4 linked regions of the Coturnix japonica genome follow. The protein of the gene in region 2 interacts with the protein of the main gene of each other region in a biochemical or structural test. Links are inferred from orthologs where the notes say so. Each region holds a gene or a part of one and is shown on either strand. Other genes may lie near its edges.

Evidence for each region.
Region 1: of the proteins of AURKA (region 2) and OTUD7B, one has a biochemical effect on the other in vitro, tested with the Homo sapiens proteins (2 studies listed by BioGRID, with this or other methods). The link is inferred for Coturnix japonica from reciprocal best matches to the Homo sapiens genes AURKA and OTUD7B.
Region 3: the proteins of AURKA (region 2) and INCENP form a complex in vitro, tested with the Homo sapiens proteins (3 studies listed by BioGRID and IntAct, with this or other methods). The link is inferred for Coturnix japonica from reciprocal best matches to the Homo sapiens genes AURKA and INCENP.
Region 4: of the proteins of AURKA (region 2) and NIN, one has a biochemical effect on the other in vitro, tested with the Homo sapiens proteins (2 studies listed by BioGRID). The link is inferred for Coturnix japonica from reciprocal best matches to the Homo sapiens genes AURKA and NIN.

What each region holds. Positions count from the first base shown.
Region 1 is NC_029540.1:381,921-385,567, reverse strand, and holds the end of OTUD7B (OTU domain-containing protein 7B), read right to left. Parts: intron 3,242-3,647; coding exon 1,943-3,241; 3' UTR 501-1,942; downstream 1-500. UniProt on the Homo sapiens protein: Negative regulator of the non-canonical NF-kappa-B pathway that acts by mediating deubiquitination of TRAF3, an inhibitor of the NF-kappa-B pathway, thereby acting as a negative regulator of B-cell responses.
Region 2 is NC_029535.1:10,858,926-10,862,866, forward strand, and holds the end of AURKA (aurora kinase A), read left to right. Parts: intron 1-194; coding exon 195-386; intron 387-737; coding exon 738-876; intron 877-1,246; coding exon 1,247-1,395; intron 1,396-1,977; coding exon 1,978-2,152; intron 2,153-2,727; coding exon 2,728-2,886; 3' UTR 2,887-3,441; downstream 3,442-3,941. UniProt on the Homo sapiens protein: Mitotic serine/threonine kinase that contributes to the regulation of cell cycle progression.
Region 3 is NC_029520.1:7,686,538-7,690,037, forward strand, and holds part of INCENP (inner centromere protein), read right to left. Parts: intron 3,455-3,500; coding exon of another isoform or gene 3,437-3,454; exon of another isoform or gene 3,411-3,436; coding exon 3,297-3,410; intron 2,146-3,296; coding exon 1,986-2,145; intron 1,417-1,985; coding exon 1,202-1,416; 3' UTR 1-1,201. UniProt on the Homo sapiens protein: Component of the chromosomal passenger complex (CPC), a complex that acts as a key regulator of mitosis.
Region 4 is NC_029520.1:52,541,541-52,545,040, forward strand, and holds part of NIN (ninein), read right to left. Parts: intron 2,945-3,500; coding exon 2,822-2,944; intron 2,309-2,821; coding exon 2,195-2,308; intron 1,609-2,194; coding exon 1,462-1,608; intron 676-1,461; coding exon 514-675; intron 1-513. UniProt on the Homo sapiens protein: Centrosomal protein required in the positioning and anchorage of the microtubule minus-end in epithelial cells. May also act as a centrosome maturation factor.

The DNA.
Region 1 (3,647 bases), on a different chromosome or scaffold from region 2:
ATAGGAAAACCCCAAAAGAACTGCAGTGAGTGGAAAGAAATCCCTATTTCCAACCATCTGAGCCCAAATGCTGCCCTAATAATGGGAAAATCCAAAGTCCTGTGGGATCTCAGCCATGAAATGGGGCAGAACCAGCCATCAGAACCAAGCCTATAAGGTTATATATACCCCTTATATATATATATATATACCCGTTATATATATATATACCCCCTTATATAAGGTCTATAAGGGGTAAGTCCTCCCCATAAAGGGGAATGGAGTTGGCTAATTGGGGGGGGGGGGAAGAGGGGCTGATGTTCTATGGGGGGGGGAGAAGAGGGGCTGATGTTCTATGGGGGGGGGGGAAGAGGGGCTGATGTTCTATGGGGGGGGGGGAAGAGGGGCTGATGTTCTATGGGGGGGGGAGAAGAGGGGCTGATGTTCTATGGGGGGGGTGGGTGTTTATTATATCCTTATTATATCCTTATTATATCCTTATAATAAACAACAAGGATGGGACGTGTTTAAAGCTCGGAGTTACCGGCCCAACTCATTTATTTCCATACGTTCAAACTCTGAACCTCGTTCTCTCTTATACAAACAAAACTGGGCTGAGGATTCGAGCCCCAGTTCGGGAGCTTCAAATACAAAAAGGAATCTGTGCAAACATCGCAGTGTTAAATCACAGCCCCCCCCATAAACCCCCTTTATAAACTGGGGGGGATGGGGGAAGGCTGGGCCCCCTTATATCGCATTTAAAGAGCTGACGGGTTCACTTTCCTTTAGGTTCACCCCTTATATTTTAGCCCTGTTATCAAAAAAAAAACCCAAAAAAACCCAAAATATATCATTTAATATCACTCAGCCTAAAGGTCAGTTACGCGGCTCGGCAAAATGGAGCCAGAGTTAATTCTATTCAGCAGAACAGAGGTAGTATGGAAGTAGCTTCGCTCAAGTAGAAAGTTATTATCGCGTGGATCCGCCGCGGGGCTGGAAGCAGCGTTACCTCCCCAGTGCTGCAGGGCTCCGGCCTCAATCCTGCCCCATAAGTTGGAGCTATTCGATCCTGGTCTTACGTTGGAGCTATTCAATCCTGCCCCATACGTTGGGGCTATTCAATCCTGCCCTATTAGTTGGGGCTATTCGATCCTGCCCCGTAAGTTGGGGCTATTCAATCCTGCCCCATACGTTGAAGCTATTCAATCCTGCCCCATACGTTGAAGCTATTCAATCCTGCCCCATAAGTTGGGGCTATTCAATCCTGCCCCATACGTTGGGGCTATTCAATCCTGCCCCCTAAGCTGGAGCTATTCAATCCTGCCCCATAAGTTGGGGCTATTCAATCCTGCCCCATAAATTGGAGCTATTGCTGCTGAGGCACCCACCTGCTTTCAGTCCATCTCCGTACCGCCAATGGAACTCAATTGGGGGGCACTCAACCCCATTTGGTGCTGAGACCCCCCTCCGTCCCCCTCCCCACCCTCATTAAGAGCTTAATAAGAACCAGCATTAAAAACCCAGAGCCCAGCTTGTATATGGGGGCAGGGCAGAGCCTGAAGGCGCTGAGCCACCCCATGGGCTCCGAAACCGAATGGTAACGTCCCATTCCGAACGTGTTGCTCTCAGTACTGGGAAAAAAATAAACCGTCGTCGTAGGAAAGTGTTAAAAAAACAAAAAAAAGGAAATAAAATAAAACATTTCTGTGTTTTAAAAGGTCTGTGACTTTTCCTTATTGGGATGGTGGGCAACCAGGCGGCTTCGGGGTCCAGCCGAAAGCTTTGGTTTGGGATACAAATGGCTTGGAAGCCCCTTCCACCCCCAGCTCCCACATTGACCCCAATGAGCCCTCAAGGTTTGAAGGGGCTGAATCCCCTCCATCATCATCCCCCCCATCTCCTTCCAGCCAAGGAGGGGGGTATATGGATAACCCACGTTATCGCTGTCCCCGCGTGTCGCGGGTCAGAACCTGTGCACCAACGCCTCGCGCTCTTTCCGTTTCATCTCCTCTTTATAACAACAGGAGCAGAAATTCCCAGTCTCCGGATGGCCGTAAAAGCTGCAATTTGGCTGTTTGCATTTGGGTTGTTGGATATTACAAACAACCCTCCCTCTTGTTTTATCTATCGCCGTTCCTTTCTGAGCGCCATCCTGATCCACATACTCCCTGTAACCATTGCTGTTGTTGTGCTGGGGGGCAACGCAAGTGAAGGCTTCACACTCTGTATTAAAACCTGGATGAACATCCATGTCCGTAGGGGAAAACCTTCCTACGTGGGGAGGTTGTGGCCGTGCCTGGCTGCAATGCCTGGGTAGGGTGGCGTAAGGGGGGAGGCTGCTGCAGGACCCCCCCGCTACCTGCCGTCGACCCTCGTGGTAACCGGGGGGGTGAGACCCTTCTGTGCTGCTGCTGATCACTGAGGGTCTGGGGAAGGTGAAGACCCCCGAATAACTGGAGGGGAATGAGGCTATTTTAGCCCCGATGGCCAAATCCGGGGGGTGGATGGTGTAGGTTGGGGGGGGCTGGGGGTACACGGGGCCGTGTAGCGTTTCCTCAGCCCTCACTTCCACCTCCAGCTTCTTAACAGGGGCTGCGTTTCCTAATGCCTTTTTTTCAGCCTCTTTTTGCTTCTGCTCGGCCAGGAATCTCTCCTCGGCATCCAGGAGGTATTGCTGGATCATCTCCTCCTGGTACTGGTGCCGATGGCCCGTTTTCAGGTGTCCAGCAAAGATGAACTTGCGCTCTCCCTGCATGGCAGCACGTAGGATGCTGAGGCTGAGCCTCACATCGTTGCTGTATTTATAGGGGTCCGAGGGTTTTTCAGAGGCTGCTTTACCCGTGGTGCAGCTTTTCTCCCCATGAGCACAAAGGTCCCCCTGGGCTGTTTCCTCTTTGCTGCCTTTCCTCGTCTTCAACGATCCCTTCTTCTTCTTCTCCAGGGTGTCCCCCTGCCCGTTGCTCACCCCTCCCTTGATGGTTTTGCTGTGCATCAACCCACCCATGTTCTTTTTTAACTTACTTCCCAAAGTCTTGCCGAAGCTGCCCAGCTTATTGGCCACCGAGTCGGCCCGTTTCTTATCTTTTTCCTTGTCCTTTTCTCGTTCTTTCTTTGGTTTCTCTTTATCTTTGCAGCCTTTGCTGCCCCCGTTACTCGCTGAGCTGCTGCAGACCGACTCCTTGTCTGACTCTCCAGACTCTGCAGCCGAACGGGCATCGTCCCCTGCTGAGGCTGTGGGGGATTCAGGCTGGGCCAAAGGCGCCTGGAAGACAGAAATCATATTATTATGGGCACACAGTGGGATATATGGGCACACAGTGGGGTGTACGGGCACACAGTGGGGTGTACGGGCACAGAGTGGGGATGTATGGGCACAGAGTGGGGATGTATGGGGATGTATGGGCACACAGTGGGGTGTATGGGCACACAGGGGGGTGTATGGGCACACAGGGGGGTGTATGGGGATGTATGGGCACACAGTGGGGTGTACGGGCACACAGACGGGTATATAGGCACACAGGGGGGTGTATGGGCACACAGAGGGGTGTATGGGCACACAGGGGGTGTATGGGCACACAGGGGGTGTATGGGCACACAGGGGGGTGTNGGGGGTGTATGGGCACACAGGGGGGTGTATGGGCACACAGGGGGGTGTATGGGCACACAGT
Region 2 (3,941 bases):
TTTGCTGCAGTATGTAGCTGTATCTCTATGCATATGCTTTAGAAGCAAGAGAGAAGCTTTCCCTTTGAGAAGTCTCAATGCATGTTTTGTCCTCTTGGTGGTGTTCCATTAAAGACTAAAGTCTATCAGCATATAAGTGGAACATTGCTGATACACTCAAGCATTATTCTGTAACTTTCTGTCTCCTTTTGCAGAAGACAGTGGTCTCTTGATGATTTTGAAATTGGTCGTCCTCTGGGGAAAGGAAAATTTGGCAATGTATACTTGGCACGTGAAAAACAGAGTAAATTTATTCTTGCACTGAAAGTGTTGTTTAAAGCACAGCTTGAGGATGCTGGTGTAGAACATCAACTACGAAGAGAAGTTGAAATACAATCTCATCTCAGGTAATATAACTGTTACCCTCTTCTTAGTTTATGCTCAGTTAAAAAAGAAAGTAAACTCACTTGAAGAAAAGCAATTCTGTAATACGTGACACCTTGAAACTGCTTGTTAAGAAACTGCTTGTTAAGGTTCTTGCCATTCTGCCCCTGCCCCACCACCGCATGGACCAAAAAGAAAAGAGAACCCAAACATAGAAGCCAAGCACCTGGCCAGTTCTTACAAGTGGATGACTGCAATTTCTCAGTCTAAGCTTGTTCCTGGTATTCTGTTTCCTGTCAAATAAGCCCAACTTGCTGAATGAATTAGTTGTTTCACAGAAAATATGTTCAGGAAGGCATTTCAATTTCTTGCAGGCATCCCAACATTCTCAGACTATACGGCTACTTCCATGATGTTACAAGAGTCTACCTTATTCTAGAGTATGCACCTCGTGGAGAAGTCTTCAAGGAGCTACAGAAGCACACCAAATTCGATGAACAAAGAACTGCAACTGTAGGTTGTTCTAATTGCTTGTACGTTGCTTGCTCCTGTGTAGCATACCTGAAGTATGCAACTTTCTCCTGAAGAGCTAGCAATTTTCAGTTGCATAAAACTAACTTTTTGGATGCTAGCTTGCTTATGCACTTGCAGCCTGTTTAGGAATATGTTGGGAGGACAAACAACTTCAGTGTCAATGAATAATGTTCAGCATTGCCCAGCACTGTAATTTGTGTGGTCACTTCAAGCAACATCTGTTGCTTGTGAGTGCAAGGAACAATTTTTCTGCTCCAAACTGCTAATTATGACTAGAGAATATTATACTGTAGCTAATAAAGCTTGAGCATCAGTGTCTTCATATTTGACAGTTCTGTTTTCTTTGCAGTACATTACAGAACTAGCAGATGCCCTATCATACTGTCATTCCAAGAGTGTGATTCACCGGGACATCAAACCAGAAAACCTGCTGCTTGGCTCAAATGGAGAGTTAAAAATTGCAGACTTTGGATGGTCTGTGCATGCTCCATCCTCTAGGTAAGATCACAGTATATACCTTGTACAGTGAAATTCTTCTGTAATGAAAATTATAGCTTTCTTGCCAAACTTAGTTATGCAATGGAGGTAAATGTCAACTTACTGAAATACTGGGGGGGAGCATTTAATAATTGGGCCAGTGCTGTCAAGCTCTTAATATTTGATTGGCGTAGCATAGAGGGAACGTTATCCTGCTTCTCCATTTGTGTATCTGACAACTTACTGAACCTGAAACAAGGGTGTTAGTGCGCTGGTTTAGGGTTACAGTGGTCCCTGAAATGAAGATCAGAACTTCAGTTCATGCTGTACCTGGAATGTTTCCTTAGTATGAACTGCACCCAATGAAGAAAGCCTCACTGACCTGTGAGCCAGTGGGAGAGGCAAAAAGGAAGGGCAAAACTGCCTGTCATGATCAGAATACTTCAAAGCAAACCTAGAATGACTGATGGAATTCCAGAGATACTGGGTTTATCTGGGGTAGACTACACTGAGATACAGATAAGAACACTGGAATCAAGATGCTAATACTAACAAACAGCCACAAAGGGTAAATGATACACTGTACTCTGTGCTTTTCTTCAGGAGATCAACTCTCTGTGGGACACTTGACTACTTGCCTCCTGAAATGATTGAGGGAAGAACACATGATGAAAAGGTGGATATTTGGAGCCTGGGGGTTCTGTGCTATGAATTCCTTGTAGGAAAGCCACCTTTTGAAGCAGCAACATATCAAGAAACCTACAGAGCTATTTCCAGGGTATGTACCATAACTTTGACTAGGTGAATTTTGGTTTCACTTCTTGTCTTCTTGAAAGTTTAATATTGCTTTTGAGGGAAGGAAAGCCATAACGAGATACACAGAAAACTAGATCCCTAAAGCTATCCTGAAGTGACTCCAGTAGAATTACAATAAAGACAGCTTTCCTGGCTGCTTGGTTCTGTTCTGTTTCTACCTGTATCTGAACACCAACCTTTTCATATAGCAGTTTATTCTTCACAATCTCCTCCACTACTTTCATGTTTCTGGTATATAAAATATTAATTGCTTGAGGTATCAGGAAAAACTTAAATTATATATTTCTAGAGTTCTGTAAACTTGAGAGGTTCCAGCAATGAGGTTTTATGTTGGGAGCACCCAAAAAAGCACACTAGCTGAACTTTGGCAAGCAGCGAGAGCCTTGTGATGAAATTACTAGGTACAAGGTACATAGCCCACAAGGCTGACAGTTTTCTTTGCTCTCTGTACCTTGGGGGGCAGAACCCTATTGCTTTCCAGTTTTGATTAGTGCCAAAGAATATTGCATCATCTTTTGTCTTGTTTCCTTTTCTTAGGTGGAATTCAGGTATCCAGTATTTGTAACAGAAGGTGCAAGAGATTTAATTTCAAAGCTTCTGAAACATAACCCATTCCATCGGCTGCCCTTGAAGGATGTACTTGTTCATCCCTGGATTACAGCAAATTCTACAAAGCTGCCCAACAATAGGAAGTGATGTTGCCACCCCATCCAGAATATAGTCTTAACAAGGGTAATCTCATTGGACTAACGAGGAGATTTGTACTGTGACTACTGTAATACAGTAAGAAGAGCAGGTCTTGGAATCCAGTGGCAATTAAGAACACAAGTTTTGGGTTGGTTATCATCTTGAACTGACCTTGAATTGCAACGTAATCTATTTGACTTCTAGCTGGATGTTGTGGAATACTTAATGTACTTGAAAAATAACTACACGTGGGCCAGATTTATTCATGTAAGTATTCAAGGTCTGTTCAAGGCCTTTATGGTATGGTCTGTCATAGTTATAGCACATTGTTCCAATAACAAGAGACAGTGATGGTTCTATCTTACTGAACAGTGCAATATCCCAGAGATACCTGCCTGTGAACTCACTGGGCTGCTAAAGGGTATCATACCTGTGGTGTAATCTGAAACTGAGGTGAATGCATTTGTGTCCTAAAAATGAATGATGTGTGCATTTTGTCTCTAGTTTTTTGTCTTATATGTGAGCGCTCAAGTATCTAAATAAAGATTGCTTATATATTGAAAAGCATGGTAAGGTTCCTTACAATACATAGTATCTTGGGTGCTGGCTGCCTCCAACTTCCTGTCATTACTGTCATACTAGGCACATCTTGACTTACCTCCATGGTCACAGACTCTAGCTCTGTCCAGAAGTAAGTTGATATAAATTAAGTTCTTGCTGTAAGTGCTGGTGTTGTGGAAGTAGATGCAGCTATTATTCTTCAGGAAAGTACTAGAAGTGTTACTAAATACCTCACGAGAGTTTCACAGTCACTTAAAAACTAAATCTGCTTCTTTCTTTGCAGCTGAAGTGTAATAGTCATAGGTGAGGTGCACATACACACCACAAACAAGGAACAAAAAACCAAAGCATGCTGCTTACCAATCCATGTTTCCAATTCTCTGGTGTTTATACTCTGGGCTCCAATTTTTTTCCCCTCTATTTAGAAATTATTAGAAGCAGAAGTAATAGATTAGAACCTGGGCTTCATAGCTACCATAGACATAAATGGCAAAGCATCTCAC
Region 3 (3,500 bases), on a different chromosome or scaffold from region 2:
AAGCACCCGAGCTGTATGTACAGTGTTCTCAGTCCACTGACTGAGGCCGCAGCCACAAATACTCACCCATCTTTAAAACCAAATCAAGCCTCCCAGAAAAGATGATTCTGAGGTAAGAACAATGTATTTTGTCTACTTCGCAGAAGACAGACTTCCACGGAAACCTACAGAAATTAACGTAACTGTTTCCTTGTAAAATGTCACTGTCCTACTGGGACTTCTCTCTATACTGAAACTTGTAGACAAGAACACCATGTGATCTCAGAGCTGAAATTCTGAGCTCATATTTTGATGTTGTGAGGAAACTGTTTTAACATTGCTTTACTGAGCAAGAAGAGCAAAGTGAAGGCCTAAAAATGAAACCAGCTTTGATGCTGAGTAAGTGAAATACCTAAGGGGGAAAGGAACAAGACAAGAACTAAAACTGAACAAAAACATCCTTTTAATCCAATCTGCCACAAATGTGGAAATTAAAGAATACCATAACCTTTGGTATAATTTACTTGAAAGACAGCTGGAAGTACAAAGATTACTTATGCTACTCTGGGTATTCTTGGAGACATGATTAACTCCAGGGTCACATCTCTCTCCAACAACAGAAGAAAGGTCATTAAGATCCTCAGGATATTTCCTCCCGAGCTGCAGTAACATCAACATAGCTTATGTACATAAATGCATTTGGTGTTGACATAGAGCTTCCTAATGATAACCAAACCAAATTATTTTGCAGTTTGCAGGAGATGGAGACATGGCTGCTAATATATTTATTCTTAAGGACATCAGCAGTGTTTTGGACTTGACTCGAGATGCATACAGCAGTCATTAGCTGTACAATACTCTGGCTTTCACCATAGGGCTGCAGGAACAGTACTGACACACCTTTCCCTACTGTATCCATCAACAACCACATTTGCTTTAGATGATACATTCTCATGACCTATAAGTCTAAATCTTTGCCATCTTAAGGTTGAAGGAAAAAGGAGATGCACAGTTCAGAAGCAAGATCTCCCCATAGCCTGCAACTTTACTCAACAGTGAGAAAACAAGCCTCCAAAATAGAAAATGTAAGAGGCCCAGTCAGAGCTGACATTTATTAAACGCTAGAGCCTAAAGATTTAGGGATATTGAATAGCATCTCTCTTCTCACCCAGAGAGACACAAATGCATATTATTGCTCCACAGGAGACAGTTACTGTCCACCTCAGTACTTTTTCAGGCCATATGGCAGACCTAGAACTGATTTGGCACCTGGAAACGGTGGGGAGTTCCACACAGCAGAGCTGGTGCGCTTGAAGTAACGTGGTTTGCTTTTGTAAAAGATGTCCTCCAACTTGGGGCTTACGATCGTCCCAAAGAGTGCATCAACATTGGGAGGGTTGTAGTACTGGCGGATTATTGCTTGGCTAAGCTGATTCCCTGGAGAAACAAAAGATCAGAGTTATCATTATTTTTTTGCCATTGAAATTGCTTTGTAGACTGTTCATATGCCATGCATCCCTGCTCCCTTTGGTTCTAATCACACAAATATTGCAATATACAAAACACCTGTAACATTTGACATTTTAAAGCACTTGATTATGCCTAAAGCTTCAGCACAGGTCCCTTGGTGTGAGAGAACATACTGAATTCTGGCCAGGAAGAGACAAGGTTTCTTAGCTTTTCTTTCTATGGGTCCTGTCAGTTTCCACACCAACTTTTTAGTTTCCCCTGTGGCAGTTATTTTAGAAGCAGGACAACAGCCAGCTTCTGTAAACTGCATGGCCTAGCACACTTCAAGGCCAGAACAGCAGTTCATAACTCCTCCACACTCACACTGGCAGTAGTGTTGAGGTGGTTTAAAAGAGTGTTATTCCCCAGTGCTGCTCCACAAAGCTCCCAGTTGGTAGAAGAGGCTTAATCTTATAACCACCATTATCCATGGGAACAAAGCTGCATTGGGGCTGGTTGGAGACTTTCAGGACAGATTTTAACCTGCTAACACATACCGCTGGCCCAGGCAGGGATGGGTTTGCGAGGCTGGCTTTCATCATCAGTAGAGTCATCGCTGTTCAGATCCATTCCATAGTTATTTGGATTTATCTTGGGGGGCTTTGGATCTTTATGGTTCTGTGGAGTCATCTGGTATGAATTGCAGGCAGGTGAATTCTAGAAGATGAACATATTACCAGACATTAGACACAGTAGTATTACTACACTTCCAAGTTGTAATGAGATGCTTGTAGCTTATAGTATCTTGGTCTTCCCCCTTGCTGTACTGCACAATTCTGAAACCTACAAGTTGTCAGTTCTGAAGTTTTGACTTTGCACCGCCTTCTCTTGTTTAACTAGGCCACTTAATTGCCTAATGAGGACATAAGTAAGCTGGCAATACACTCATCCTAACACAGACACAGCAGTTTCCTTTGAAATAAGGCACTTTAAATACAGCTGTCACGTCCTCAGAGCTGGATCTAAGTTACGTCCTGTAAGTACTATGCAACTTAACACCCAGTTGTTTAACACTATTACGTGAAGTATCTTTTACAGTTTATTCTGAGACATGCATTTTCTGTATTGCAATTTTGATGGGAACAGTATGACTGAGAGAAATGCAAGTCATGAAAATAACTTAAAACAGCAAATTCCATGAAACTTCAGTCAGTTCTTAACGAGAGATGAGTATCTCAAAAGTGCTAAAAACAGTTTTGCTCCCACAACATGCTTTTTTAACGGCTCCATATACATTACAGTTAGTTTACATTTCATTCCTTTTGCATTTAAAGATTAAATTATATAGCTTCAAAAGAAAATAAAGATCCATGTATTCATTTGTCTTTCATGTTCACAGTGTACATTCATCTCCAACACAGTCTCACACTCCAGTGGTAGTGCAGCACAAATGCAACACTATTCCACAGACTCTGCTGCCATCTTGTGGCTGGTTCCAGTTTTGAACTTAAATACAACCATTTCAGTATCTTTGCTGCCTCCAACATTCAGTATTTTAAGCAAGTTCAGAGAAGGCAAGGTAACTTTAACAGCCACTGCCTTATTCCAACAGCTAGAAAAATCCTAACAAATACTTGCTGCTTCCCTTCTTGCATTTTCAGTACCTGAAAGCCATTTAAAGTATTCAAGGCCATCAGGAACTGACCTCAGGTAACTAAGGGAAAAGTTTACAGCATCCCTTCACTACTGAAAGGGAATTAAAAATAAAAAGTGGGAGGTAATATTGCTCACAGTAACAGCATGCCAGTGCTGGAGTCCAAGTTCTCCGATGTGATCCCTTAAAGAAATTTCCACCAGAGAGCAGTTACCTCTTTGTTTTCTAGGTGCTGTGTTTGTGCTACATCTGTAGCCTTTTGTTCCTTTGGGAGTTTCTTCTGTTCTTGCTCCTGCCTCTTCACCTCTGCTAGCAACTGCTCTTCCTTCTGGCAAGCCGATGTCAAAAGTGAATTTAAGTTGACCTTATCAACTAACCCATGGGGTTCATTCAAGGATCCACAATTTTGACATACAAT
Region 4 (3,500 bases), on a different chromosome or scaffold from region 2:
TGGAGCTTCCACATTCCACCCAGGGTGGGCAGTGATAGGACAAGGGGGAATGGTTTGAAACTGAGACAGGGGAGGTTCAGGTTGGATCTTAGGAGGAAGTTTTTCCCCCAGAGGGTGGTGACGCACTGGAACAGGTTGCCCAAGGAGGCTGTGGATGCCCCATCCCTGCAGGCATTCAAGGCCAGGCTGGATGTGGCTCTGGGCAGCCTGGGCTGCTGGTTGGTGACCCTGCACACAGCAGGGGGTTGGAGCTGGGTGAGCACTGTGGGCCTTTGCAGCCCAGGCTATTGTGTGACTTTATGAATCCCCAGCTAAAGCAGGTTCCCTACAGTAGGTTGCACAGGAAAGTGTCCAGATGACCCCTACCACCTCTGCAGCCCTTTGCTGCGCATCTGCTTAGAACTGAGGAACCCAGAAGGAGATCCAGTACTCCGGATGTAATCTCCCCTCAGTGCAGAGCAGAGGGGGCAAGACCAGAATCCTAGACAAGAGACTATCTGAATGGTCCCCTACCTTCTCCCTGGCATGCACCAGCTCTGTGGCAGAACTCCGGGCCTCCCTCTGCAGCCGTTCCTTCTCCTGCTGCAGCAGCTGCTGCTCCTGGGCCATCAGCTGCTCCAGCTCATCCTGCTGTGAGCGCCCTGGGGAAGGCACAGCCCGTGCTAGGACTCGGTTCTTAAGACAGACAGAATTGCAGGGTTAGGCCTTCAACAGAGAAGCAGACGTTTTCTCTGTTCAGGTGGGGTTTAAGGAGGCTTTTGGTAGCTGCAGGGTTCCATCTCCCTCCCAGCCTGTGTGCCATTTCCCAGTCAAATCCAGCATGGTCATCCCAGCATGCAGCCAAGCACTTCACCACAATCACAGCTGGAATGGTTACTGTGAGTGCACACACAACTCAGCGGCACAAAAAGGGAAATAGGGCTCTATTTTGGAGCCTCATCAAGTAAATAACAGAACCCCATTACACATTATTCAGTAATAGCTGTGATTCAGCTCCTGTTGCACAATTCTCAAGCACTCTCCTTTCTGTGTGGATGTTAAATACTCCTTTAATTACAGGGCAAAGGAGCCAAATCAGGGGCTAAACTCATAATGCCAATTCAGGACTGCTGCCTGCCACCTCCTTCAGACCCACCTCCTCATCAGCTTGGCATTGCAAACAACCTTACCAACCTAATGATAGTTAACTCTTAAAAATGAAAACTATTAAAACCAGTAAGTAGCACAGAAATATTGTGTTATTTTTTTTATACCCTCCTCCCTCCAGCCAGTTTGACTGCGAGCTTTCCATCACTTGTGTTTACAAGAGTCAAAACCAATGTCATTCAGAATCTACTTGCTCAGGCCTGCAGCACCATTTCTGCCTTGTACATTAATGAGCCAAGCTAAAAATGAGACTGGCTCCAGAGACAGGATGCCCATCTATAGGTCACCCACGTGGATCTGATAGAGGTCAGTTACCTTCTCATTGGCGTTCTGCAGCTGCTTGTGTAAAGACATCACCTCTTGTTCGAGAGCTTCCTTCTCCTGCTGTGCCACCCGCAGGTCTGACCTCAGGCGGGACATCTGGAGGGTGGTGGTCTGCAGGGTTTCATCCAAGCTCTGAACCTGCAACGTGCCACAAACATCTGCTATTTGACTGCTGGCTGTTGGAAAGAGGTGATGAGGTGACACTGGTGGCCCACCCTCCTATAACACTAACCAGATCTTCAAGTCTCTGCTTCAAATGAGCTGCCTTACACTCTTAAATATGGCCAAAATACCACACCCAGACACCTTCCATCCCAGAATATTGACTGCGATATGCTGGGAAAAGGAGATTCTCTTGGAATTATTTCTTCATGGCCAATAAGAGTCAAGAGAAGCACCATCAGCCAAGTAAATGGCCATTTTTCCCTTCCCTTGGCTGCTAGGAAACAAGCTAGCACCAGAAAGCAGGGAGCAGAAGCAGGATCTCTGCAGTGGGACAGAGTGAATTGGCAAGAAGAACTTGGAAGTGGGGAAAAAAAGGTCATATTTAACAAGTTTCCTTTTGTCCTTTAAGGACATCACTTTGAAAGCCCATCAAAGCGCCCATTCTCAGCTGCACGGAGTCTCTGCACATGTTAGAAGAGGGCTGTTTTCTATGAAAGAAGCTGTACCAGAAATTCTGAGATGCTTTGATTCAGGACCGTAACAAAACCCACTGTTATACCTTCTCCTGTGAAACTGATAGCTGTGTTTTCAGGGTCTGACTCTGCTGCTCCCAAGACTTCTGCTCCTGCTTCAAGCCGCCAACTGTGCTCTCCAAGAAGCTTACTTTGGCCACCTGGAATAAGATTACACAGCTAAGCCTGAATCATCTGGGATTTTCTTTAACTCAGTTTGACTTCAGGAGTTATGATAGATGGAGTTACAGCTCCGCAAGGAAGTTAGAGGGGAGCAAAAAATAAACCACAGCCCAACCAACTCAGTTTCAATCTATGCACAACAAGATCATTATTTATGGCATGCTTACTGTGCTGCCCCGGCCTGGAGTTAGCACAGAGTGCAAGAACACTGCCCTCCTTGTCCTGCTGCAACATTTCTATCCATGCCTCTGCTCCTCACGACGTTTGGAATTTGCTATGTGACCAAATTGCACTCAAGCTATGCTCCAAAAGCTCTTTTTAATAGCAATGAGGGAAAATATGCAATGGCACGGAAACCTTGATCTGGCCTGAAGGTAAGAAGGAAACCCAAAGTAGTTCTATTGCTTAAAGGGATGCAGACTCTGATATAAGGACTTCAGTACCTCATTACAGCACATGGGTAGGGACACGGGTGTGCAGTCCTGCCTTACCTTATCAATACACCTGCTTAATTCCTCGCTCAGCGCTTCCTTCTCTTTCAGCAGCTTTTCATTTCTAGTCATCAAACTAGAGACTTCGTTCTGAAGGTCAGAGAGGTCAGGGCATCTGGGGAGCTGTGGGAGACAACCCCCTCCCATCAGTTCAGAGCTTTGCATGCAAGCATTAAACAAAGCCTTCTCCTTGCCTTAGGACCAATTGTAGTGTACTGGATAGAGTGGAAAAGATGGGAGCAGAATATCACTCATGTCCCAGGACAGCCTGTGTTAGGGCTCCTATGAACCACATGCCCACAGACAGGTGCTACACCTCCTGCACAGCGTGTATTAGCATGTTAAAGCCCCTGACATAATACAGGACCCATTGGGTTGTACAACACTAATTGGAATGGAAACAGAACATACCAGATACTACATCTTTGAATTTCCATTTTGTATATTATGGTGGGTTTTGTTTTTTAGTTTTAAGAACAACCAGAACATACCGGGAATTCTCCCCACATCCACACATCTCCATTCACCTGCTAACATCATCAGGGCAGATAAGGCTTTGGATACCTCCTTCCCAGAAAAGGGGGAAAGAAAAGCCACCCAGCTGACTTCTCATCCCTTTCCCACCTGGCGCAGTGCTTCAGCTTTGTCTGCCTGTTCCTGTGCACTTTGGGCTCTGCTC